Linked DNA regions of Elephas maximus indicus. The protein of the gene in region 1 purifies or fractionates together with the protein of each later gene. This does not show direct contact. Links are inferred from orthologs where the notes say so. Each region holds a gene or a part of one and is shown in the gene's direction. Other genes may lie near its edges.

Evidence for each region.
Region 2: the proteins of GNA13 (region 1) and ARHGEF1 purify together in Homo sapiens (affinity purification with western blotting; 5 studies listed by BioGRID and IntAct, with this or other methods). This does not show direct contact. The link is inferred for Elephas maximus indicus from reciprocal best matches to the Homo sapiens genes GNA13 and ARHGEF1.
Region 3: the proteins of GNA13 (region 1) and ARHGEF11 purify together in Homo sapiens (affinity purification with western blotting; 3 studies listed by BioGRID). This does not show direct contact. The link is inferred for Elephas maximus indicus from reciprocal best matches to the Homo sapiens genes GNA13 and ARHGEF11.

What each region holds. Positions count from the first base shown.
Region 1 is NC_064837.1:58,617,215-58,625,078, forward strand, and holds the start of GNA13 (guanine nucleotide-binding protein subunit alpha-13), read left to right. Parts: upstream 1-4,567; 5' UTR 4,568-4,794; coding exon 4,795-5,077; intron 5,078-7,439; coding exon 7,440-7,666; intron 7,667-7,864. UniProt on the Homo sapiens protein: Guanine nucleotide-binding proteins (G proteins) are involved as modulators or transducers in various transmembrane signaling systems.
Region 2 is NC_064829.1:109,034,977-109,042,888, reverse strand, and holds the start of ARHGEF1 (rho guanine nucleotide exchange factor 1), read left to right. Parts: upstream 1-4,467; 5' UTR 4,468-4,690; intron 4,691-7,912. Other genes in the region: CD79A (B-cell antigen receptor complex-associated protein alpha chain), read left to right, coding at 1,139-1,438, 1,646-1,764, 2,513-2,581, 2,706-2,819. UniProt on the Homo sapiens protein: Seems to play a role in the regulation of RhoA GTPase by guanine nucleotide-binding alpha-12 (GNA12) and alpha-13 (GNA13) subunits. Acts as a GTPase-activating protein (GAP) for GNA12 and GNA13, and as guanine nucleotide exchange factor (GEF) for RhoA GTPase.
Region 3 is NC_064821.1:194,781,281-194,789,093, reverse strand, and holds the start of ARHGEF11 (rho guanine nucleotide exchange factor 11), read left to right. Parts: upstream 1-4,368; 5' UTR 4,369-7,190; coding exon 7,191-7,246; intron 7,247-7,813. UniProt on the Homo sapiens protein: May play a role in the regulation of RhoA GTPase by guanine nucleotide-binding alpha-12 (GNA12) and alpha-13 (GNA13). Acts as guanine nucleotide exchange factor (GEF) for RhoA GTPase and may act as GTPase-activating protein (GAP) for GNA12 and GNA13.

The sequences.
Region 1 (7,864 bases):
AATTTAAATTGTTACTCTTGTTTTAAAAATAAACATAATGGCACTTTCATTCATTGAGTAATGCACACAGTGGGCATTTCAATGTTAAATGATGTTAGTGATTTTTTTTTTAATGGAAAATGTACTCCCTAACTCATTTTTCTCTACGTGGCAAAAGTCACATAACATAAAATTCACCATTTTAACCATTTTTAAAGTGTACAATTCAGTGGTATTTAGTATATTTATAATGTCGTGCAACCATCATCTCTATCTAGATCCAGAACACTTTCACACCTCAAAAGGAAAACCTGTACCTATTAAGTAAGGACCCCTGGTGGTGCAGTGGTTAAACATTCAGCTGCTAACTGAGAGGCCGTCAATTCGAACCCACCAGCTGATCTGTGGGAGAACGATGTGGCAGTCTGCTTCCATAAACACTACAGCCTTGGAAAGTGTACGGGGTAGTTCTACTCTGTTCTATAGGGTCACTAAGTCAGAATCAACTCAAGGACGGCTATAAACCTGCTGCTGTTGAGTCGATTCTGACTCATAGTGACCCTACAGGACGGAGTAGAATTGCCCCATAGGGTTTCCAAGGAGCGCCTGGTGGATTCAAACTGCTGACCTTCTGGTTAGCAGCTGTAGCTCTTTTTTTTTTTTTTTTTTTTTTTTTTGTGCTTTAAGTGAAAGTTTACAAATCAAGTCAGTCTCTCACACAAAAACTTATATACACCTTGCTACATACTCCCAATTGCTCTCCTCCTAATGAGACAGCCCGCTCCCTCCCTCTACTCTCTCTTTTTGTGTCCTTTCGTCAGCTTCTAACCTCCTCTACCCTCTCATCTCCCCTTCAGGCAGGAGATGCCAACATAGTCTCAAGTGTCCACCTGATCCAAGAAGCTCACTCCTCACCAGCATCCCTCTCCAACCCATTGCACAGTCCAATCCATGTCTGAAGAGTTGGCTTTGGGAATGATTCCTGCCCTGGGCCAACAGAAGGTCTGGGGGCCATGACCACTGGGGTCCTTCTAGTCTCAGTCAGACCATTAAGTCTGGTCTTTTTATGAGAATTTGGGGTCTGCATCCCACTGCTCTCATGCTCCCTCAGGGGTTCTCTGTTGTGTTCCCTGTCAGGGCAGTCATCAGTTGTAGCCAGGCACCATCTAGCTCTTCTGGTCTCAGGCTGATGTAGCGTCTGGTTTACGTGACCTTTTCTGTCTCTTGGGCTCATAATTACCTTGTGTTCTTGGTGTTCTTCGTTCTCCTTTGATCCAGGTGGGTTGAGACCGATTGATGCATCTTAGATGGCCGCTTGTTAGCGTTTAAGACCCCAGACGCCTCTCTCCAAGGTGGGATGCAGAATGTTTTCTTAATAGATTTTATTATGCCAATTGACTTAGATGTCCCCTGAAACCATGGTCCCCAAACCCCCACCCCTGCTACGCTGGCCTTCAAAGCATTCAGTTTATTCCGGAAACTTCTTTGCTTTTGGTTTAGTCCAGTTGTGCTGACCTCCCTTGTATTGTGTGTTGCCTTTCCCGTCACCTAAAGTAGTTCTTATCTACTATCTAATTAGTGAATACCCCCTCCCGCCCTCCCTCCCTCCCCCTTCTCGTAACCATCGAAGAATATTTTCTTCTCTGTTTAAACTATTTCTTGAGTTCTTATAATAGTGGTCTTATACAGTATTTGTCCTTTTGCAACTAATTTCACTCAGCATAATGCCTTCCAGGTTCCTTCGTGTTATGAAATGTTTCACAAATTCATCACTGTTCTTTATCGATGCGTAGTATTCCATTGTGTGAATATACCATAATTTATTTATCCAGTCATCCATTGATGGGCACCTTGGTTGCTTCCATTTTTTGCTATTGTAAATAGTGCTGCAATGAACATGGGTGTGCATATATCCGTTTGTGTAAAAGCTCTTATTTCTCTAGGATATATTCCAAGGAGTGAGATTGTTGGATCATATAGTAGTTCTATTTCTAGATTTTTAAGGAAGCACCAAATCGATTTCCAAAGTGGTTGTACCATTTTACATTCACACCAGCAGGCAGCCATAGCTCTTAACCACCACACCACCAGGGTTTCCAAGGAAGGCAATGGGTGTACCTCTTAAGCAGTCACTTCCCATCTCCCCTCCTCCCCTCTCCACCCCCTGGCAACCACTAGCCCCCCTTCATTCTCTGTGGATTTTCCTATTCTGGATGTTTCATGTAAGTGGGATCATTCAATATGTGGCCCGTTGTGCCTGGTTTCTTTCACTTAGCATAAGTCTTCAAGGTTCATCTATATTGTAGCATGTGTCAGTACTTCATCCCTTTTTATAGCCAAATAATATTCCATCATACGTCCCTGGGTGACGAAACAGTTAAACAATTAACTACTTGCGAGACCAAAGGTTGGCGGCTGGAACCCACCCAGAGGTGCCTTGGAAGACAGACTTGACAATCTGCTTTTTGAAAGGTCACAACCTTGAAAACTCAATAGAGTGGTGTTCTCCTCTGCATACATGGGGTCACTAGGAGTCAGAGTTGAATTGATGGCAACTAACAACAACAACAACATGTATATTACCACATTTTGTTTATTAGTTCATGAGAATTTGATCGTTTCCAGCTTTTGGTAATAGTGCTGCTACATACATTCATGTACAAGTTTTTGTTTGAATGCCTGCTTTCAATCCTTTGGGGTATACCTATAGGTAGAATTGCTAGATCATATGGTAATCTTGTGTTTAACTTTTTAAGGTACCAATAAACCCCTAGTTCATTTTTATTTTCACAATTACAAGGAGTCTTGATCACTGGACAGTTAGAGGCTGTTGGACAGCTGCAGCTGAGCCTCAGGCTGGGCTCAAAAAGGTCTTTTTTCCAGAACCACTGCTTAGTGCAACCCGGCTCCATTAGAGCCAGGCTTGTTCCAAGGCAAGGCTACAGGTAGGGCTTTGAACAGCTTTCTCTGCTGCTCTGCATGTTGGAACATGAACTGGCTGGGCAGGAATACCCTCCTGCCTTCTAGGCATCCTTGGTTCTCCATTATATAGCACATACTTTTGGAAGGAAAAAAAAAAGATGCCAGCTACCTAACATAGACTTCCCTCCTCCTGTCTTTGCAGCAGAGCTCAGATTAGCACCTGGAGTCCCCATACGATCCATGCTTGGGACAGATGCTATACCCTGCACTGGGCAGAAATTAATCTTTCATGGACTTGCTGAGACTAGAAAGTGATCCTTCACTCAGGGTACAGTTTTACCATTCATGTCGCCTGACAGCACTACCCAGTATTCCGACCCTATCAACCCACAGATACAGGAGTGAGCCCATCCTACTTTGTATATTGTAGATTGTCCACCCCTGGGCTTGGCTGGGCAAAGGAGACAACCCTACTACAGGCATTGTTCACTGCAAACTTTCTGAGTCATGAGGCTGTTCAGTCATTAATCCAACCCGTAACAGTCACTGATTAGCAGTGATTTTTAAATTTGACTGCTTAGGAGCTTCTCCAAGTCCTGACCCCTTGCCCCAATTCCCTGACACACAGGAAGTTTCCACACTACAGGAGCCCACACCAAGGAGCATTAGGTTGCACTGCCCCCAAACAGGCAGATTAAACCGGCTTTTTCCACTTGAAACTGAACACTAAGAATGAAAACGTCGGTTGGGTCCTTGCTACCCGAGTCTCCCTGCCAACCCCGTTGTCACTTGTCAGGCTTGTCTTCCGGGCAGCCCTTTCAGGTGTCCTGCTCTGAATCTGCTGGTAGGGCAGAAAAGTCCCTTGGCTGGTCATATCCTCTGTAATCCCGCGGGAAACCTAAAATGTGCCTGCTCTCGTCCTCGGTGAGTTTGCTTTTCGCTTCCTTGTAGGGAAGAGCCTGCATCACAGTGTCCGGTTTGGGGGATTTTCACCATGACCTCACCCTCTGCCGCTACCATCCCGATTGTAGCGCTGCACAGCATTACGCAGCTCGGGCAGGGATCCACGTTAGGGAGCTGTTAACAGACCCTCCTAGCACATCTCAGATTAATATCAACTCCAGTTCTTTCTCCCCAAAGGGGGATACTTGCAGGGGTCTGAGAATGCCACCAAGAGCTGGAAGGAAGGACGGACGATCTTGACTTAGCATCAAGGGTGCCACCGTAAGAAAATGCACCAAAAACCTTTCAGACTGGCGCCCGTTGTTTGAATCACTTTTGACCCAATGGCTTCGAAATAAGGCGAGGGAACGCTGACAGCAGGCGGCGGCCATGAAACTCGGGAGAAAGGGCGGCCTTTCTCGGGAGAGAGGGAGCCCAAAGGGCAGCGTCTGGGACTCGGCAGCCGGCTCCACGGAGCAGGCCTTAATTAAAAAGAAACAGAAAGTCGCGCTCCGCAGGCGTCCGCCGCGCCCACTGCGTCCCGCCAGGCCCGAGACCACGTGACCGCGGCTCCCGGCCTCCTGGCGCGGGCCCGGCGGCGGCCGCGGACACACCAGCCAGCGAGCGACCGCGTGATTCGCCGGCCCGGGCCCGCCACGAGACTGGGGCTGCGGAGGCCGTGCGCGCGCGCCCCCGGGAGGCGGCAGGCGCGCGCACGCTGCCGGGGCCACCGCCCCTCCCGGGCCCGCCTCCTTCCCTCCCTCCCCGGCTCTCCCGGCCCGCCCTGGCCGGCTCGCCCTGCGAGTCAGTTCGCTCGTTCCCTCCCTCCCCGGGCGCGCTCGGGCCGCCGCAGCGCTCCCCGCCCTTGAGCCGCGGAGCCCGAGCCGCCCGCCGCCCGCGGAGGAGGTGGAGGGAGCCGGAGGGGCCCGCCGAGGCGGCGGCGGCGGCAAGATGGCGGACTTCCTGCCGTCGCGGTCCGTGCTGTCCGTGTGCTTCCCCGGCTGCGTGCTGACGAGCGGCGAGGCCGAGCAGCAGCGCAAGTCCAAGGAGATCGACAAATGCCTGTCCCGGGAGAAGACCTACGTGAAGCGGCTGGTGAAGATCCTGCTGCTGGGCGCGGGCGAGAGCGGCAAGTCCACCTTCCTGAAGCAGATGCGGATCATCCACGGGCAGGACTTCGACCAGCGCGCGCGCGAGGAGTTCCGCCCCACCATCTACAGCAACGTGATCAAAGGTGCTGGGCTCGGCCGGGGGCGAAGGAAGGGCCGGCTCGGCAGGGGCCGGGGGCCCGAGGCCGGGCACCGCCCTCGCGCACTCCGTGCCTCGCGCACGAGCTGGGCGGGCGGCAAGGGGGCGCGCCCCGGGCCCTGGCCCTGCCAGTCCCCGGGCGCCCTCTCCGTCGGCTCAGGGAATGCTCGGTGGGCGCCCAGCTTTCTCCTTGCTGCCCCCTTGGGGGTCACGGCCAGCCCCCACCCCCACCCCATTTCCAGCTCTGGCTCCTCCGAGAGGGAAGTTAGGAGAGCCGGGTGCCTCGGGGTGCGGGTCACCTGGCCTGTGTTCCTCCTTCCAGACGAGGCTGGAAAACCCGAGAGCCGACCCCAGACCCTGCCCCTTTCTCCCCTGCCCCAGAGCTGTCGGCCGAACCTCGCTGCCCCGGGTGGGTGACCCGAGTTGCATGGTTTCCTTGACCGCCTCCTGAGCAAGGGAGTTCTGGAACCGTCGGCAATGAGGAAACTTTTGCCAGAGACTTGTCAAGGGCGAAGGGTGACAGCTTTTGGGACTCTTTTGGGAAAGGATGTGAAACTTGAGGGTGTCGTTTTCACTTTGCTGGCACCAGGAAAGAGGAGACCCATACAGTAACTCTGAAAAATTAGCATCAGTGGTTTTTCACCTCATTGTCACGGTCAGGCAGGATGTTTGCCTGTAGTCTGTGTGCAATATGTTCTGCTCTCCTTTTTGCTAAATAAGGGGTAGGGGATATGGGGGTGTACTGCTTCAGTGCAATTGTGTAATAATATGAAGAATTTTTGGTCTAAAGGTGATGTGAGTCCCGCACAGGTTGAGTCAGTGAGTTAGCATGGGATGGGGTTGGATCATAGACTCCGCTTCTGTTTGACAGTATTTTTTTTTTAATTAATTAAAATGGTAAACGTTGTTCTTAAGTGAGAAGTACACAGGATTTTTATTTCTGAACTTTCAAAGAATTAGAGACGATGGTTTTTATTTTGTGATTGGAATGATAATTAGCATTCCTTTCTGTTAGTTTCCAATATTTTTAGCTTAAAATACTTCAGATGCATCAGGATTCTCTATTTTGTCTGGGTAGCAATTATCTGGTAGTTTGCTACCGATTTCATATCTTGTCAAGCAGTGTTTTTTTCCGTGGGATTTTTGTTCAGGAAGTGCTTAAGAAAGTCTTTCATGTCACTTTTTTTTTTTTTTCCTTTCTCTCCCAGGGTTTGGTAGAGGAAAACTGCTCCAGAGAGGGAGGCAGTGTGGGTTAGGAGCCAGAGAAAAAGCTCAGCCTGGGGTTTACAGACCACAGTGAGCCCTTAGCCCTGGTACCCCTCCAGTTAAGCTGTGAAAAGCAGTTGTATTTACTCTGCCTTAATGGTCAGCAGGAAACCTAATTAAGGTCTCTTTCAAGGCCACTGCCTCTGCCTTGCCAGCCCTTAATTGAAGGTACCTTTGTATCTTGCTGCAGCCGAATTTAAGGAATTATGTTAATGAATAGATTCAACATTTTAACTGATTATGGGCCAGGTAAACAACTGGTTCTTAATGTACACTGCGTCGGAAATGAGACCCGTTTTGAGTATTGATAATGAGATGAGGTCATTAGACATTAGTTTTTTTGTAGGTGTTGGCTTGTTGCAAAAATTGACAGCGGAATAGTTTTTTCAGTTATCCAAATGACCTAAAGGTGTGCGATTGTTAAGACCCTAACAGTTTAGTAATAGAAATACTGGATTTGAACTAACCTCTGAGTTGAAATGCCTGGTTTTGTATCTTTTTGCTGTTGGTCTTCCTACCTTTTAGGGAAATCTAAGGCCATCCTGTAACTTAGATTGATTCGAAGCTTGGTCTAGGAGAAGTTTTTGAGTTTTTAAGGTGTTCCTAGAAGACTCAGGGTTGGGGTTAGGCAGGGTGCCTAGGGGACAAGCAATGCAGAATGGTAACGCCTAGTTCTTGGCATTTGGTAGATGAATGCCTTTTGGACGGACTCCTTTCCTTCAGAGCCTGGACATCAGGCTGTGCAGCATAGTTTCTTTTTCCTTCAGTGGTTTTGGCTGTCTTGTGACCACTTTTTACCCCGGAAGTTATTTTATAAATTAGTACATTTTAAAATCCTTCAGAAGGAGCAAGTGTGTTATCAGTATTTGCTCTCCAAGGTTCTCATTTTAGGAGTGTGAGCAAGAGTTTTTAAAATCTGAGAAGTTAAGGGTGGATGTTTAATGTTGGTCTTCATTTTTGGAGGAGGTGGGCCTGGAGTAGTTAAGAGGTCTAAGAAAGAAATTCTGGTGTTTTCTAAGGAGTAAAACATATAAGAATGTTTAATGACTCCTCCCCATACTTTTTTTTTTTTTTAAACAAAGGCATGAGGGTGCTGGTAGATGCTCGAGAGAAGCTTCACATTCCTTGGGGAGATAATACAAACCAATTCAATGGAGAGAAGATGATGGCATTTGACACACGGTCACCCATGGCGGCCCAGGGAATGGTGGAAACCAGGGTGTTCCTACAGTATCTTCCTGCTATAAGAGCCTTATGGGCAGATAGTGGCATACAGCATGCCTATGACCGGCGTCGAGAATTTCAACTGGTAAGAGATTGGCTTTTTTAAAATATTGTGACTTTATTTTAATGATATTTAACAATTCTTGATGTCAGCACCCTTTATTCAGTGACGTCCACAATACAACAATGTACCCAGAATCATGGCCTAAGAAATCTTGAATTGTTATCTGTCTTAGCTATCTATAAGTATATTACCAAACAAGATAAAAATAAGGTAAACGCC
Region 2 (7,912 bases), on another chromosome or scaffold:
TGACTGGGGACTCTGGTAAGCTGTGTGCCCTCCCTGGGCCTCAGCCAGCCAGCCGTCCCACCTGTAAAAAGGTGATGATGGGAGAATCTGTCTCTAAGGTTTCTGTGCAGATTACAGAGAGACAGGGGCTGAGGGTGGGAAAGCGGCCACAGGAAACACCTCCAGGAGGAGGTGACGTGAAATTGGTCTTGGAAGGAGCTATGTGGGCAGGAAGGAGCCCTGGTGGCGCAGTGGTTAAAGTGCTTGGCTACTAACCAAAAGATCGGTGGTTTGAACCCACTAGCCACTCTGTGGGAGAAAGATGTGGCAGTCTCCTTCCGTAAAGATGACAGCCTTGGAAGTCCTATGGGGCAGTTCTACTCTGACATACAGGGTCGCTATGAGTTGCAATAAGCTCCATAGCAACAGGGTTATTTTGGTTTATGTGGGCAGGGTCACTTCCGGTGCTAAGGAACCAAACATCCCAAAGCCAAAGAGTTCAGTGGGGTCAAAGCATAAAGTGGGGTGTGGGGTAAGAGATGGCACTGGAGAATAGAGTAGGGCCCTCCAGGGGTGTCTCATTCTCCTCCCCCAGAACGTCCTCCCTCCCTCCTCCAGAGGTGTCCTCACTCTTCCCACCCCAGGGGCATCTTACTTCCCCCAAGGGGTGTCTTTGCTCTCCTCCCTCAGGGGTATCTTCTCTCTTCCCCCACCAGAAGTGTCTTTGTTCTTCCCCAACTAGAGATGTCTTTGTTCTTCCCCCACCAGGGGTATCTTCGCTCTCCCCTCACCAGGGGTGTCTTCACTCTCCCTCCACCAGGGGTGTCTTCTCCCCCCACCAGGGGTGTCTTTGCTCTCCCTCAACCAGGGGTGTCTTCGCTCTCCCCCTACCAGGGGTGTATTTGCTCTCCCCCAACCAGGAGTGTCTTCACTTTCCCCCCACCAGGGGTGTCTTCGCTCTACCCCAGCCAGGGGTGTCTTCACTCTCCCTCAACCAAGGGTGTATTCATTCTCCTCCCACCAGGGGTGTCCTCACTCTCCCCTCCAAGGGTGTCTCATACTCCTCCCCACTGCACCCAGGAGTGTTGCATCCTAGCAGCTCAGGCTGGGGACCTTTGTCCCCATCCCTAGTCTTTGATCCACACCCTCCTCTCCGCAGGCCCCGGGTGCCAGGCCCTGTGGGTGGCCTGGGACCCACCTTCAGTGACAGTGATCGTGGGGAATGAGGCCCACCTGCAGTGCCCCAACAATGGCAGTAACCCCAATGTCACATGGTGGCTCATCCTCTCTGGCAACTACACCAGCACATGGCCACCCGTGTTCCTGGGCTCAGGCGAGGGCCCGGACGGCAGGCTGACCATCCCACAGGTGAACAAGAGCCACGGGGGCATATACCAGTGCCGGGTGCAACAAGACAACAAAACCTGGCAATCCTGTGGCACCTACCTCCGTGTGCGCGGTGAGTGTCCCGGGTCCTGGTGCCACGGCTGGCCACTGCCCCAAGGGGGATGCTCGGTTTCTGTCTGTGAAGTAGGGACAGAGCCAGTTCTTCACCTCTGGCTGGGGCGGGCTCAGACACAGCAGGAGTTTCTCATCTGCATTGTGGGCCTTGCTGGGAGGGGCGGGCAGGAGGCACCGGGGCTCCAAGCAGCACCCCTCCTTGCAGAGCCGCTCCCTAGACCCTTCCTGGACATGGGGGAGGGCACCAAGAACCGCATCATCACAGCCGAGGGAATCATCCTGCTCTTCTGCGCCGTGGTGCCTGGGACGCTGCTGCTGTTCAGGGTGAGCTACCCCGGGACCCTAGGCCAGCTGGATGAGGGCAGGGTGGCACAGCTCAGTGCCCAACCTGCCCTCCCTGATTCTGAGGGTCCCCTCTAAAACCTGGGAGAATACCTGGGAGAATGTGAGCACCCACATCACAGGGCCTATGGGGTTAAAGGAGCTAATACAATGAGAGGACTCAGAGTGGGGCCAGGTCCAGAGGTGCTTCCTTGCTTACTCTCCCCCAGTCAGGGGTGTCTTTGGAGGGTGTCCTCACTCTCCCCCCAGGGCTGTCCTCACTCTACCCCCCAGAGCTATCCTCACTCCCCCCCTCAGTTGTCTCACTCTCCTCGAAAGTAGCCCCCAGATGCCAAGGCTGGGAAGATGGGGGCTGGGTTTCTCCTACAGTCTCTGACCTGCCTGGTCTCAACTCATACCAGCAGAGCACTGATTGCTATTATTATTATATTAGGATTCTTACTCATGGAGAATAACAACGCCAAATAACAGAGCCAAAATGAGACTCACTAGCTTTGGCTCCAGAGAGACATGCCACTCAACAGATGTGACCTTGGACATACCCCTTGCCCTTCCTGAGCCTCAGTTTCCCCTCCTGTAAAGGGAAGTGGTCAGAGCTCGCTCCCCAGGTGACTGTAGGCAGCACTCAGGGGAATCACGCTGGTAAAGCACCCCTTCCCATCCAGGAGGGTCTTAGAATCTATCAGCCTCCCTTTGCTCACTGAGGCCCCCAAACTGCACCCCCCCCCAGAAACGATGGCAGAATGAGAAGTTCAGGGTGGACATCCATGATGACTATGAGGATGAAAATCTGTACGAGGTGAGTGGAGGGTGGGGACAGGGTAAGAGCAGGTGCACTGGGGGCTGGACATGGGGCTCCTCCCTGGGGCTGGCTGCGGTAGAGACCCCAGGCACTGATGTCCACTGCTGCACGTCCACCCCAGGGCCTGAACATCGATGATTGCTCCATGTACGAGGACATCTCCCGGGGCCTCCAGGGCACCTACCAGGACGTGGGCAGCCTCCACGTCGGAGACGTCCAGCTGGAGAAGCCGTGACCCTGGCCAGCTGCCCTGCCTGCTGTATTCCCAACTCTAGGGTCTTTCCTCACTCCCCCTGGAACATTCTTCTCTCTCTCTCTTCACCTTCTTCCCTGAAAGTCATCTTCCCCTTTGGGAGTATCCTAGAGGAGTCTTCTCCCTCCTAGGTCTCCTGGAACTCTGAAACACGTAGACCCTGCCCAGGGGGCAGCTCTTCCTTCTACACTGTCTTCACTCCCTCTACACACCCTGCCTCCTTTCCCAGCTCCCTGCTCCCTCCCTGGCGGGTAATGAGCCCTTAATCGCTGCCTCAAGGGGAGCTGATAGTAGCAGCCTTATTAGTACCCCCCTCTCCACTCCCCACCCCTGCTCTGTCATGGCCACTTAGTGATAATAAATCCTTCCCAACTGCAGCATTTGGCAGGAGTCATGGATCTCATGGGGACTGAGCCATCCCCACCCCAGGGGACCAGAAGTCCAGGCCCCCAGCCCCCTCCTCCCTCAGACCTAGAGGTGCAGGCTCCCAGCCCCCTTCTCTCTCAGATTCAGAAGACCAGTCCCCAGCTCCCTCCTGGATTCTGGGTCTCAGCTCTCCACTGTCTATCCCCCACAACTGGGATCAGGTAGCCAGGCTTAGTTACTCCCGTGAAAGAAACAGGAAGTGTCTTGGGGTGCTTTCCACCCCAATGAAAAGGAGTGGTTTGGCCCCACCCAGGGCCCCACCCCAGGCCCTGTCCCTGAGCAGGAGGGGGCTGTGTTGTGCATATATGTTGGGGATGTGGGGGGCGGGGGTAAGGCTACCATATTTATGCACATTTAAGCCCTGCAAACTGGAGGACTATCTTGGGGGATAGTATTGAATTCCCTGACTTTGGCCACACCTTTTCTCTATGGGTGGACTTGTGCAAGGGTGATTTGTAGCATCTGTATTCCTAACTTGAGGCTGGTGAAGACACTCAGGGGGCAGTGACAGAAAGGTACAGTGATACAAAGTTCCTGAGATAGGTACTAAGTTCTTGAGATGCAGAGAGAGAGAGTGATGGAGACACTGAGCAAGTGAAGGAAAAGACAGTAAAGAGACACTGGAGTTTCAAGGGAGACAAAGCCACGAGGGCAGATAGAGAGGGAGAAAGAGTGACCAAGAGAGAAAGGGAGAGAGCAGGAAGAAGGGCCTAGAGGTACTGAGCCAGCAAGACTGGGGAAATGATGAGAACTGACACGAAGAGGCAGAAAGACACAGACAGACACACAGACAGTTGCAGAGATGGGAAGAGAAGGATTCTGAGGGAGAAAATGACAGAGGAGGAGGAGACACAGGGAGAAGCAGAGGCTAGGGAAAGACCCTAACCAAGAAAGGGGGTGAGAGAGGGACTAGAGACAGAGAAGAAAAGGCAACAGCGAGAGAGACACACAGAGGCAAAGCAAGAGAGGGAGACCAAGCGACACCGGGCGGAGAAGCCGAACCACGGTGAGGAAACCAGGCGAGGGTGTTGCTCCGATTGCGGTGGCGGACAGTGACACTCACCCCCCGCCCGGCCCTCCCCGCCAGGGCTGTGCGGGCGGACACTCGGACAGAGAGATATGAGCAGCGTGGAGCCCGCGCCCTGCGGACCGACAGACGGACAAAGCCGGGCAGAGCTCGGGCGGGGCCAGGGTGGGGCCGGGACTTGCGGAGACCCAAGCGGCGAGAAGGGGAAGGAAGCGGAGGTGCCGGGAGGGCGCGGGGCGCGGGCAGGAAGCGGGGAGGGGCGGCGGGGCGGGGGCCTCCGGAAAAACGCCCCAACTTCCTGCCCCGCCGGAGCCAGGAAGCGGGAGCCGGGACGCAGGGCCGGGGATCGCCGAGCCCGACCCCGGGCGCCCCGCCGGTCACCTCCCCGCGCGGACACCAGGTACACCGTCCCCGGCCCCGCCCGCCCCCCTCCCCTCCGCTGCTGGGGGAAGTAGGGACGGAGGTGGAGGGGCTGGGGCGCTGCAGGCCGTGGAGCGGCCTCTCCAGGGCTCCACTGCGCCGGCGGCTGCCCCTCCCTGGGCCTCAGTCTTCCCATCTGTCAAAGGGGCAACGAGAGGGAAACTAATACAAGCCGAGCGCTCAGTGGATGGGGATAAAGGGTTCGCGGCCGGGGTCAATGCCTCTCGATTGCTCAGCGGGGGACGGATAATCACCCTGTTGCACGGGTGGGGAAACTGAGGCCCAGGGAGCCGAACCGACTCGCTCGAGGGCGCACACATCCCGAAACTGTTGAGTTGATATTTGAACTCTCAGGTGCTTTCCGCTAAGCGCCTTGCTCCAACCCCGCGTGCTCTGGGCCGTCTAAAAAGAAAAACAATAACAAGGCTATAGGCCGCTGATGAAACTGATAGTTGCCAATGGAGTGTGTTTGAAAGCGTTTAGAAAGAAAAAAAAAAATTTTAAAGCGTTTGGAGGTCATTAATTATGTCCTAGGAGATGGGTGTAGAGGAGAGAGCTGAAGACCTTCCCCCATTGTACAGATGGGATGACTGAGACTTCTTCCAGGATACACTGCATGTCCGAAACAAAACTGGGCTCGAACCCAGGATTTTTGCTTTCCAGCCCCAAAGGAAAGTGCTGGGGGATGTACACGCGTTGAGAATTCAGCTCGTCACAAGTAGGGAGACAGGATAGGGAGGAAGCCCCAGTCCGAGATCCAGGGACCCAGGGCCCAGGCGACTCGGATACCTCGCCTTTGGCTCTGCTGTGCGGGCTGGAACCATCCCCACCTCCGGGCGGGGGTTGAGGGGCGGGGCCCGGGAGAGTGACGCGGGCAGTCGAGATACGGAAACCCCAGCCCTCCAAGGCTGGCCAGAGCGGCCCTGTCTGGCCAGCGTGGCGCGGTGGAGAGCTAGAGCGGGCGGCGGGAGGAGTGGAGTCGCTGAGGCATGAGCCAGGCAGGAGCCGGGCTAGAGCGCCTGCCGGGAGGAGTAGAGCTGAGCGCAAAGGCGGACTCTGAGGTGGCTAGAGCGGCTCGGCGGTGAGGGTGGGGGGAGTCCGGAGCGGGCGTGCGGAGGCTTCGGTTCCAGCGGCAGCTGCGGCTTCTCGGACCTGGAGCAGGTGAGGAACCCCGCCCCGGGGGGGTCAGAGTCTGACTCCCAACGTACGCCCCGGCATGGCCCGGCCCCGTACACCGCTGAGTCCTTTGTAGGATTTGGGGCTTGTATAGATAGAACCGCCACGTCCTCTGCAAGATTTGGGGTTCCTGTAGACCTGCCACGTTCCAGATAGATTGCAAGGTTTTGCATACCCTCCAGGTTCCTATTAGGCCCCCGTAGAGACCCGGTTTCTTATAGACGTGAGGCCCACTTAGATCAAGAGCGTCCTCTAGAATCCAGAGCGCCATAGACCTGAGTCTCTGGACCCACCACACGCACGTATAGAATTCTGCGGCCCTTTTAAGTCTTCAGAGGCCCCATAGACTGGCTACTTCCCCTATTGAATCCTGACCCCGTATGAACCCCGAATTCCTGTAGATCCACCATGTGTCAAATAGAATCGGGGGCCTTATGCATATTTAAGGGCCTGTTATAGACTCACCTTGATCCTTCTGTATTTTAGGATCTTGAAGGCACCCAGGGGTCCTTGGAGACCCTGGGTCATCCGCTCAATATCCTGTAGACACTGGACCCTGCAGAGAACCCAGGCCCCTATGTGGTCCCCGATCTGTGCCTACTTTGCTCTAAGACCCCCGCACCTATGGACCTTTTAAACCTGCCCTGCCCCTACCCTACCTCCTCTGCTGTGCTCCATGCCTTGTCCATTGCCTACAGACCAGTGCTTCTCAACCTCCCCACTGTTGACGATTTGGACCGGATAGTTTTTTGTTGAGGGGGACAGGACTATCTTGTATATTTAAAGATGTTTAGCATAATCCCTGGCATCTACCTGCTAAATGTCATTAGCACACCTCCTTTTGAGACAACCAAAAATGTCACCAAACCAAACAAAAATAACCCAAACCATTGCCGTCGAGTCGATTCTGACTCATAACAACCGTATAGGACAGAGTAGAACTGCCCCATAGGGTTTCAAGGAGCAGCTGGTGGATTGGAACTGCCAACCTTTTGGTTAGGTTGGCCACCTTCCCAAGGCCTTAAGCTTTGGACCAAGGGAAACTGCATGGAGACATATTTCAGCTGAGAATGGAAACTGCAGCTTTTAACCAATTATTTTAGACACTTTTGTTTTGAGGAGTTCCACAGATTGTTTCTATACAAATGTAAATCTAAAAAAAAAATTGTTCAACTATTTTATTAGATTATATTAAAGTATTTGTTGTGTGTCGTAAAAAACAAAACAGAAAACCCTGCAGACTTAATATAAATGAAAAACTAAAACGCCCCCCCCCAAAAAAAAAATCGTAGTGGCTCTTAACCACTGTGCCACCAGGGCTCCAGATCCCCTTGGGGGCAAAATCACCTCCAGTTGAGAACCACTAATTTAGACTCAGAACCAAAAATCAGTTGCCATCGAGTCAGTCCCTACTCACAGCGACCCCGTGTGTTGCAGAGTAGAACTGCTTCATAGGGTTTTCAACGCTGTGACCTTTCAGAAGCAGATTGCCAGGCCTTTCTTCTGTACACTTCTGGGTGGGTTCGAATCACCAGCCTTTCAGTTAACTGCTCACTTAACTGTTTGTGCCACCCAGGGATTCCCTGATGTAGACCTATTGAATATCAGGTAGAATCTGGGGTCTTATACATTCTATGATCTCCCATAGGCTCACTGTGAGCCCTTTGTATTTTAGGTTCCGTAAGGCTCCCAGAGGTCCTTGGAGACCCTGGACCATCTGTTCACTATCCTGTAGACCCTTGGCCCTGCAGAGAACCTAGATGTCCATGTGGTCCCTGATCCATGCCCACTTTGGTGTAGGACCCACACCCTTATGAATCTAAACCCTCGCCAGATACACAACGCCCCCTCTGCTGTTCTCCAGCCCTGCCAGTTGCCTATAGATCTACCTACCACCTGACAGCTTCAAACTATAATTTCCCGACCTTTGTGGGTCTTCCTCACGCCCATTTCCTAAACAACCAGTGGCCCCAGAGTCCCCTCTGAGCTGCAGGCCTCTGTGGAGTGGCTGAGTCCAGCCTGAACA
Region 3 (7,813 bases), on another chromosome or scaffold:
TAAAGCGAACAGTTCAGTGCCATTTAGTGTATCACAAAGATGAACGACATAGAAAAAAAAAAAAAAAAAAAACCCAAACCAGACCAGTTGCCATTGAGTTGATTCTGATTCGTGGTGACCCTGTTGTGTTGCAGGGTAGAACTGCTCTCTGTAGGGCTTTTGTGGCTTTAACCTTTTGGAAGCAGATCAGCAAGCCTGTCTTCCGTGGTGCCTCTGGGTGGGTTCGGACTGCCAACCTTTTGGTTAGTTGAGCACTTAACCGTTTGCACCACCCAGGATTCTTAAATCCAGACCCATTGCCATCAAGTCGATCCCAACTCGTAATGACCCCATGTGTTACAGAGTAAACCTGCTTCATAGGGTTTTCTTGGCTGTAAACCCATTGCCGTCAAGTCAATTTCGACTCAGAGCGACCCTGTAGGACAGGGTAGAACTGCCCCACAGGGTTCCCAAGGCTGTAATCTTTACAGAAGCAGGCTGCCACGTCTTTCTTCTGCAGAGTGGCTGGTGGATTCAAACCACTGACCTTTCAGTTAGTAGCTGAGTACTTAAGCGCTGCGCAGCCGGGGTTCCTTTTCTTGGCCATAATCTTTCTGAATGCAGCACCGGGCCTTTCTTCTGTGGCAGTGCTGGGTGGGTCTGAACGGCCAACCTTTAGGTTAGTAATGAAGCACAAACAGTTTGCACCACCCAGGGGCCTCACCGCTATCTAATTCCAGAACGTTTTCACACCCCAAAAAGAAACCCGGTAATCATTAACAGTCACTCACTATACTCTCCTTATAGCCCCTGGAAACCGCCAGTCTTCTTTCTGTCTGTATGGAGTTATCTATTCTGGATGCCTCATAAAAATGGAATCATACAAGGTTCATCCATGTCATAGCATATACTGGTGCTTCCTTCCTTTTTATGACTGAATAATATTCCATTGTGTATATACTACATTGTTTATTTATTCATCTATTGATGGATAGTTGAGCTGTTTCCACTGTTTGGCTGTGTGCATAGTGCTGTTATCAACATGTATGTACACGTGTTTGAACACATCTTTCTACTTTATTTGGGTATAAATAGGAGCGGAAGTGCTGGATCCTATGGTAACTTTATGCTTAGAGTTGTGAGGAACTGCCACAGTGTTTTCCAAATGGGGTACACCGTTTTTCACTCCCACCAGCAGTGGATGAGGGTCCCAGTTTCTCCACATCCACAGCACTTACCATTGTCTCTCTTTAATTTTAGCCATCCTAGACGGTGTGTGAAGTGGTATCTCATTATGCTTTTGATTTGCATTTCCCTAATGACTAATGGCATTGAACATCTTTTCATGTGCTTATTGGGCATTTGTATGTCTTCTTTGAAAACTATCTGTGAAATTTTTTTGCCCATTTTTTAAATTGGGTTATTTGTCTTTTCATTGTTCATTCCTAAGAGTTCTTTATATATTCTAAATACAGATTTCTTGTCAGATACATTATTTACAAACATTTTCTCCCATTCTGTGGGTTGTCTTTTTATTTTCTTGATGGTGTCCTTTGAAGCACCAACATTTTTAATTTTGTTGAAGTCCTGTTTATCTTTTTTTTTTCCCCTTTTGTTGCATGTGCTTTTGGTGTCATGTCTAGGAAACCATTACCTAACTCAAGGCCACAAAGATTTACTCCTGTGTCTTCTAAGAGTTTTATAGTTTTAGCTGTTATGTTTGGTCTGTGAACCATTTTGAGTATTTATGTTGTGAGGGGCCAACCTTATTCTTCTGCATCTGGCAGTTGTCCCATCACCAGTTATTGAAAAAAACTTTTTTTTCCATTGAATTGTCTTAACATCTATGTCAAAAAGTAATTAACCATAAATTTCTGGATTCCAATTTTATCCCATTGATCTATATACTGTTCTTAAGCCAGTACCCCACTGTAGTTTTATAGTAGATTTTAAAACAGTAAAGTGTGAGCCCTCCAGCTTTGTTGTTTGTTTTTGTTTTCCCCAAGATGGTTTGACTATTATGGGTCACCTGCATTTCCATATGAATTTTAGGATCAGCTTTTCAAAAAAAAAAAAAAAAAAGATTTTGATAGGGATTGCACTGAGTCTGTAGATCAGTTTGGGGAATATTACCATCTTAATAATATTAAGCCTGCCAATCCATAAACATGGATGTTTTCATTTATTTAGGTCTTTACTTTTTTTTTGGCAATATTTTGTAGTTTTCACTGTACAAGTCTGGTACTTCCTTTGTTAACTTATTTCCTAGCTATTTTATTCTAATACTATTGTAAATGGAATTGCTTTCTTTTTTTTTCCTAAATTTTATTTAGTTTGTTGTTGTTGCTGAGAATATATACAGCAAAACGTGCACCAATTCAACAGTTTCTACGTGTACAATTTAATGGCATTGATTATATTCTTTGAGTTGTGCAACCATTCTCTCCCTCTTTTTCCGAGTTGTTTCTCCTCATTAGCATGAACTTACTACCCCCTGTGGTTCTTATCTTTCCAGTTGCTGTTGTCAATTTGATCCCATATAGATAGCTCTTATAAGAGCATAATGCTCAGGCAGACCTTTTTACAAGTTAAGCTAAACTTATTGTTCTAAGTTGACTTCAGGGGACATTTTTTGTTTTAAGGTTTAAAGATCATCTTAGTACAATAGTTTCAGGGGTTTTATCCACCCTCCATGGCTGCAGAAAGTCTCGAGTCCATGAAAAATTGAATTTCTGTTCTGTATTTTCTCCCTTTTGATCAGGATTCTTCTGTGGAATCTTAGATCAAAATATTCAGTAATGGTAACCGGGCACCGTGCAGTTCTCCTGGTCTCGAGGCAAAGGAAGCAGCAGATCATGGTGGCAGTTAGCCACACATTCCGTATCCTCCTGTTCCTGACTTTTCCTTCTTCCTCCAGGTGAATAGAGATCAATTGTTGAGCCTTGGTTGGCCGCTTGGAAGCTTTTAAGACCTCAGGCACTACGCAATGAACTAGGAGGTAGAATAGAAGCACTAAACATGCACTAAGCACTAAATATTAGCCCAGTTAACTGGGATGTCCCATGAAACCAGGACCGTAAACCTCCAAACCAAGGAACCAAATCCGTGAAATGTTGGTTGTACAAGCCTCAGTAGCTACTGTTTTTTTTTTTCCTTCTTCTTCTTTTGGTCATTGTTGTAAATATATATATATCACACAACGTTTTTACAGGTGTACAACTTCTTGACAGCAATTACAACGATCAGCTGTGCAGCTCTACCCTTAACCAGTGGGATTTTTCTATCACAGTTAACCCCCCATTTCCCCTTCCCTTCCATCCCTGGTAACCACTAATAAACTTTCGTCTCTATACATTTGCCTTTTTTTGTCTTTTTATATAAGTGAGGTCATACAATATTTGTCCTTTTCTGATTGGCTTATTTCACTCAGTATAATGTCTTCAAACTCAATCCATACAGTAGCATGTATCAACACTTCATTTCTCCTACTGGCTGAGTAGTATTCCATTGTACATACATACCACATATTGTTTATGCGTTCATTTGTTAATGGGCATTTAGGTAGTTTCCACCTTTTGGCTGTTGTGAATAGTGCTGCAGTGAACACTGACATACAAGTCTCTTTTTGAGTCTCTGTTTTCAAGTCTTTTGGGTATATACCTAGGAGTAGAATCGCTGGGTCATATGGTAGTTCTATTTTTAGTTTTTGGGAGAATTGCCACACTGTTTTCTGTAACAGCTATACCATGTTACATTCCCACCAGCAGCAGGTAAGGGTTCCAGTTTCCCCACATCCTCGCCAACATTTGTTATTTTCTTTTTTTTTTGTTTAGCCATCCTAAGCCATTGCCACTGAGTCGATTTCGACACATAGCGACCCTATTAGGACAGAAGTAGAACTGCCCCATAGGGTTTCCAGGGTGCGCCTGGTGGATTTGAACTGCCAGCCTTTTGGTTAGCAGGCATAGCTCTTAACCACTATGCCACCAGGGTTTCCTTAGCCGTTCTAGTGGGGGTGAAATGGTATCTCATTGTAGTTTTGATTTGCATCTTTCAGGTGGGTAATAACACTGAACATCTTTCCATGTGTTGGTGGCCAATTGAGTGTCCTCTTTGGTGAAACGTCCAAGTCCTTTGCCCATTTTATAATTGGATTATTTGTCTTTTTGTTGTTAAGTTGTTCAAGTTTTATACATATTTTGCTTAATAGATTCTTGTTGGATATATGGTTTCTGAAGATATTCTCCTAGTCAGTAGTTTGTCTTTTCATTTTTTGGTTAAGTATTTTGATGAGTAGAAGTTTTTAATTTTCATGAAGTCTCATTTATTTATTTTGTCTTTTTCTGTTTGTGCTTTTGTTATTAGATTAGATAATCCATTTTTAAAAGCTAGGCTTGACAGTGTTGCCCTTTTTTCTTGTTCTAAGAGTTTTATGGTTTTAGTTTGCACGTTTAAGTCCTTAATCCATTTTTATTTTTTTGTGTGTGTGATGTGAGACATGGATCCTTTTTCATTTTTCTGCACGTGAAAATCCAGTTGTCCCAGCCCTTTCCCCCATCAAATGGAATTGCTTTCTTAATTTCATTCAGATTGTTAATTGCTAACATATAGAAAAACAGTTGACTTTCGAATATTGAGTTTGCATCCTGCAGCATCGCTAAACTCATTTATTGGTTCTAACAGTTCTTTTTGTGAACACTTTAGGTTTTTCCTTATATACGAGATCATGCCACGTGAAATAAATTTAACTTCTTCCTTTCCAATTCAGATGTCTTTTACTTTTTGTTTCTTGCTAATTGCCATTGCCAGAACCTAGGGTACAATACTGAATAAAAGTGGCAAGAGCTGCCCCTTCCCCCTCTGTTAGGGAGAAAACATTCAGTCTTTCACCTGTACATATGATGTTAGCTGTGGGCTTTTTGCAGATGACCTTTATCAGATTGAAGAAGTTTCCTTCTAGTCCCAGTTTTTGAGTGTTTTTATTATGGATTTTGGATTTGTCAGATTTGTTTGTGTGTGTGTGTGTCTATTGAGATGATCATGTTTTTGTTCTTTATTCTATAAATACAGCATATTACGTTGATTGATTTTCGTATGTTAAATCAGCCTGGTATTTCTGGGATAAATCCTACTTGGTTTGGGTGTGTAATCCTTTTTACATGGTACTGGATTCTGTTTGCTAGCATTTTGATGAGTTTTTTTTTTTTTTTCCTTTTATTGTGCTTCAGGTGAAAGTTTACAGAGCAAATTAATTTCTCATTAAACAGTTAGTACACAGATTGTTTTGTGATATTGGTCACCATCCCCATGATGTGTTAACAGTCTCGCCTTCTGCATCCCGGTTCCCGGTTTCCATTTGTCCAGTTTTCCTGTGCCTTCTTGTGTTTGCTTTTGGGCTAGTGTGCCCTTTAGTCTTGTGTATATGATTGAGCTACGAAGCCCATTCTTCATGTGTGTTAACATTGGCCCTATAAAAACCTAAACCAAACCCACTGCCTGCTGTCGTGTCGATTCCAACTCATAGAGACCTATAGGACAGAGTAGAGCTGTACCATAGAGTTTCCAAGGAGTGCCTAGTAGATTTGAACTGCCGACCTTTTGGTTAGCAGCCAGAACTCTTACCCACTACACCACCAGGGCTTGGCTCTGTAGGCCTGTCTGATCTTTGGCTGAAGGCTGGACCTCAGGTTTGATGAGTATTTCTCCCAACAAGCCTGTGAGATTAGGGTCCTCGTGAAGAAGCTGAGGCGTAGGTTAGGCAGCTTGCCTGTGAACACATGGTGCGAAGACTGGAACAGGGAAGCAAGACTTTTGGATTTAGTCTAATCTTCTGTCAGCTGCTTTACTTTGTACCTGTTATATCATGGATAAGCCACAGTTGATTTCATTGATTTGGGATGTTTCCTTTTGGATTGAAAACTCCCAGAGAGTGATCTCTCTAATGTGCTTATTATACCAAACCAAAAAAACCCCAAACCTGTTGCCGTCAAGTCGATTCCAAATCATGGGAACCCTACAGGACAGAGTAGAACTGCCCCATAGGGTTTCCATGGAGTGACTGGTGGGTTTGAACTGCCGACGTTTTAGTTAGCAGCTGTCATGGATTGAATTGTGTCCCCCCAAAATATGTGTCAACTTGGTTAGGCCATGATTCCTATTATTGTGTGCCTGTCCTGCATTTTGTGATTGTAATTTTCTGTTAAAGAGGATTAGGGTGAGATTGTAACACCCTTACTAAGGTCACATCCCTGATCCAGTGAAAGGGAGCTTCCCTGAAGTGTGGCCTGCACTACCTTGTATCTTACAAGAGATGAAAGGAAAGCAAGCAGAGAGGGGGGTTACCTCATGCCACCAAGAAAGCAGTGCTGGGAGCAGAGGGAGTCCTTTGGACCCAGGGTTTCTGTGCGGAGAAGCTCCTGGTCCAGGGGAAGATTGATGACAAGGACCTTCCTCCAGAGCCGACAGAAATGGAAAACCTTCCCATGGAGCCGATGCCCTGAATTTGGACTTGTAACCTACTAGACTGGGAGAAAGTAAATTTTTCTTTGTTAAAGCCATCCATTCGTGGTATTTCTGTTACACCAGCACTAGATGACTAAGACAGCAGCCGAGCTCATAACCACTGTGCCAGCAGAGCTCCATACTCATCATAGAGTCACACAGTTAAGCCTTAATATTGAATGCATTTTGGATAAGTATGAAATTTATACCCTTGGTGATTACTGATTTAATTTTAAACGTGTTTGTGTCTTGTTTCTTTTTTTTGTGGACCGGGAGCATTACGGGGCATGTGTATGTAATTCTACTTTCTTTTTAGTGCTCAGCATTTGCTGAGCCCAAATAAATACTGGGCAGAAGCTTCCGGATTGGAAGGGTGCGTCTCTGCAATGCCAATCTAAACACATCTAAGGACAGTGTATTCTCCTGGCTAGATATCCATCTGGCCTGAAATCCCAGTGTTCTCTGTATTTTGCCTGCATTGTGTTTTTTTGGGTTTGTATACCCCTTCACATCCTCTCTCCTGCCCTCCTACAGAGCAGCTGGCTCGTCAGAGACAGTAACTGCTGAGAACTTACTGACACAATCTCCGCATTAAATCTTTTTGCTCTCTCCACCTTTTCTGACACGTGCACAGGCAAGTGATTACACATTTCACATTGAGGTACAAGCATCTAGAGACCTACAGAAGCTCTTTGGGGCAGCTCAGAAGAATGGACGGGGAGCAGAGCCGCAGCCATTTGCCTGCATATAACGTTGGCAGGCTTATGTGAGTGCTTTTGAACTCTGTGTCTACATGTAACATAATTGCTTTATCGATATCAGCATTGTATCTTTTCCTTGCCACCTGTGAACTCCTTAGCTTCTACTCTAGTATAAAATGGAAAGGAGGGGGATGTTCATTTTATCGTTAGTCAAAACCCAGCATCCTGAGAATATGTCTGGTGCAAAACAAAACCACGTTTTAAATTCCAAAGGCAAATGGAAGTGCTTTTTGAATTAACCTCTTTTTGCTGATGGTGCTGCCTCTCCATTAATGGGGGTATTTGGGACTTGCCTGTGCCCTAATTGATTAAATAATCATTTGTATGTACGAACAGATAAAATGCAAAAGAGTATATGTACATCTTATGATTGTCCCTCATTTTAAATCCAAAGGCCAGTGCTGCATTTTGTGGTCTAGCAGGAGCACTGAGACCTGGCCAATAAGCAGTGTCTTGAGACAGACTTACATTACCAGTAAGAAGAGTGTGTGCCTGCCTCTCTGTTGTCGAGGATGACAATGTTCAGTTTCTAGTTGTGGACCCAGAATACTTTTTTACCCCTTAACGCGTTT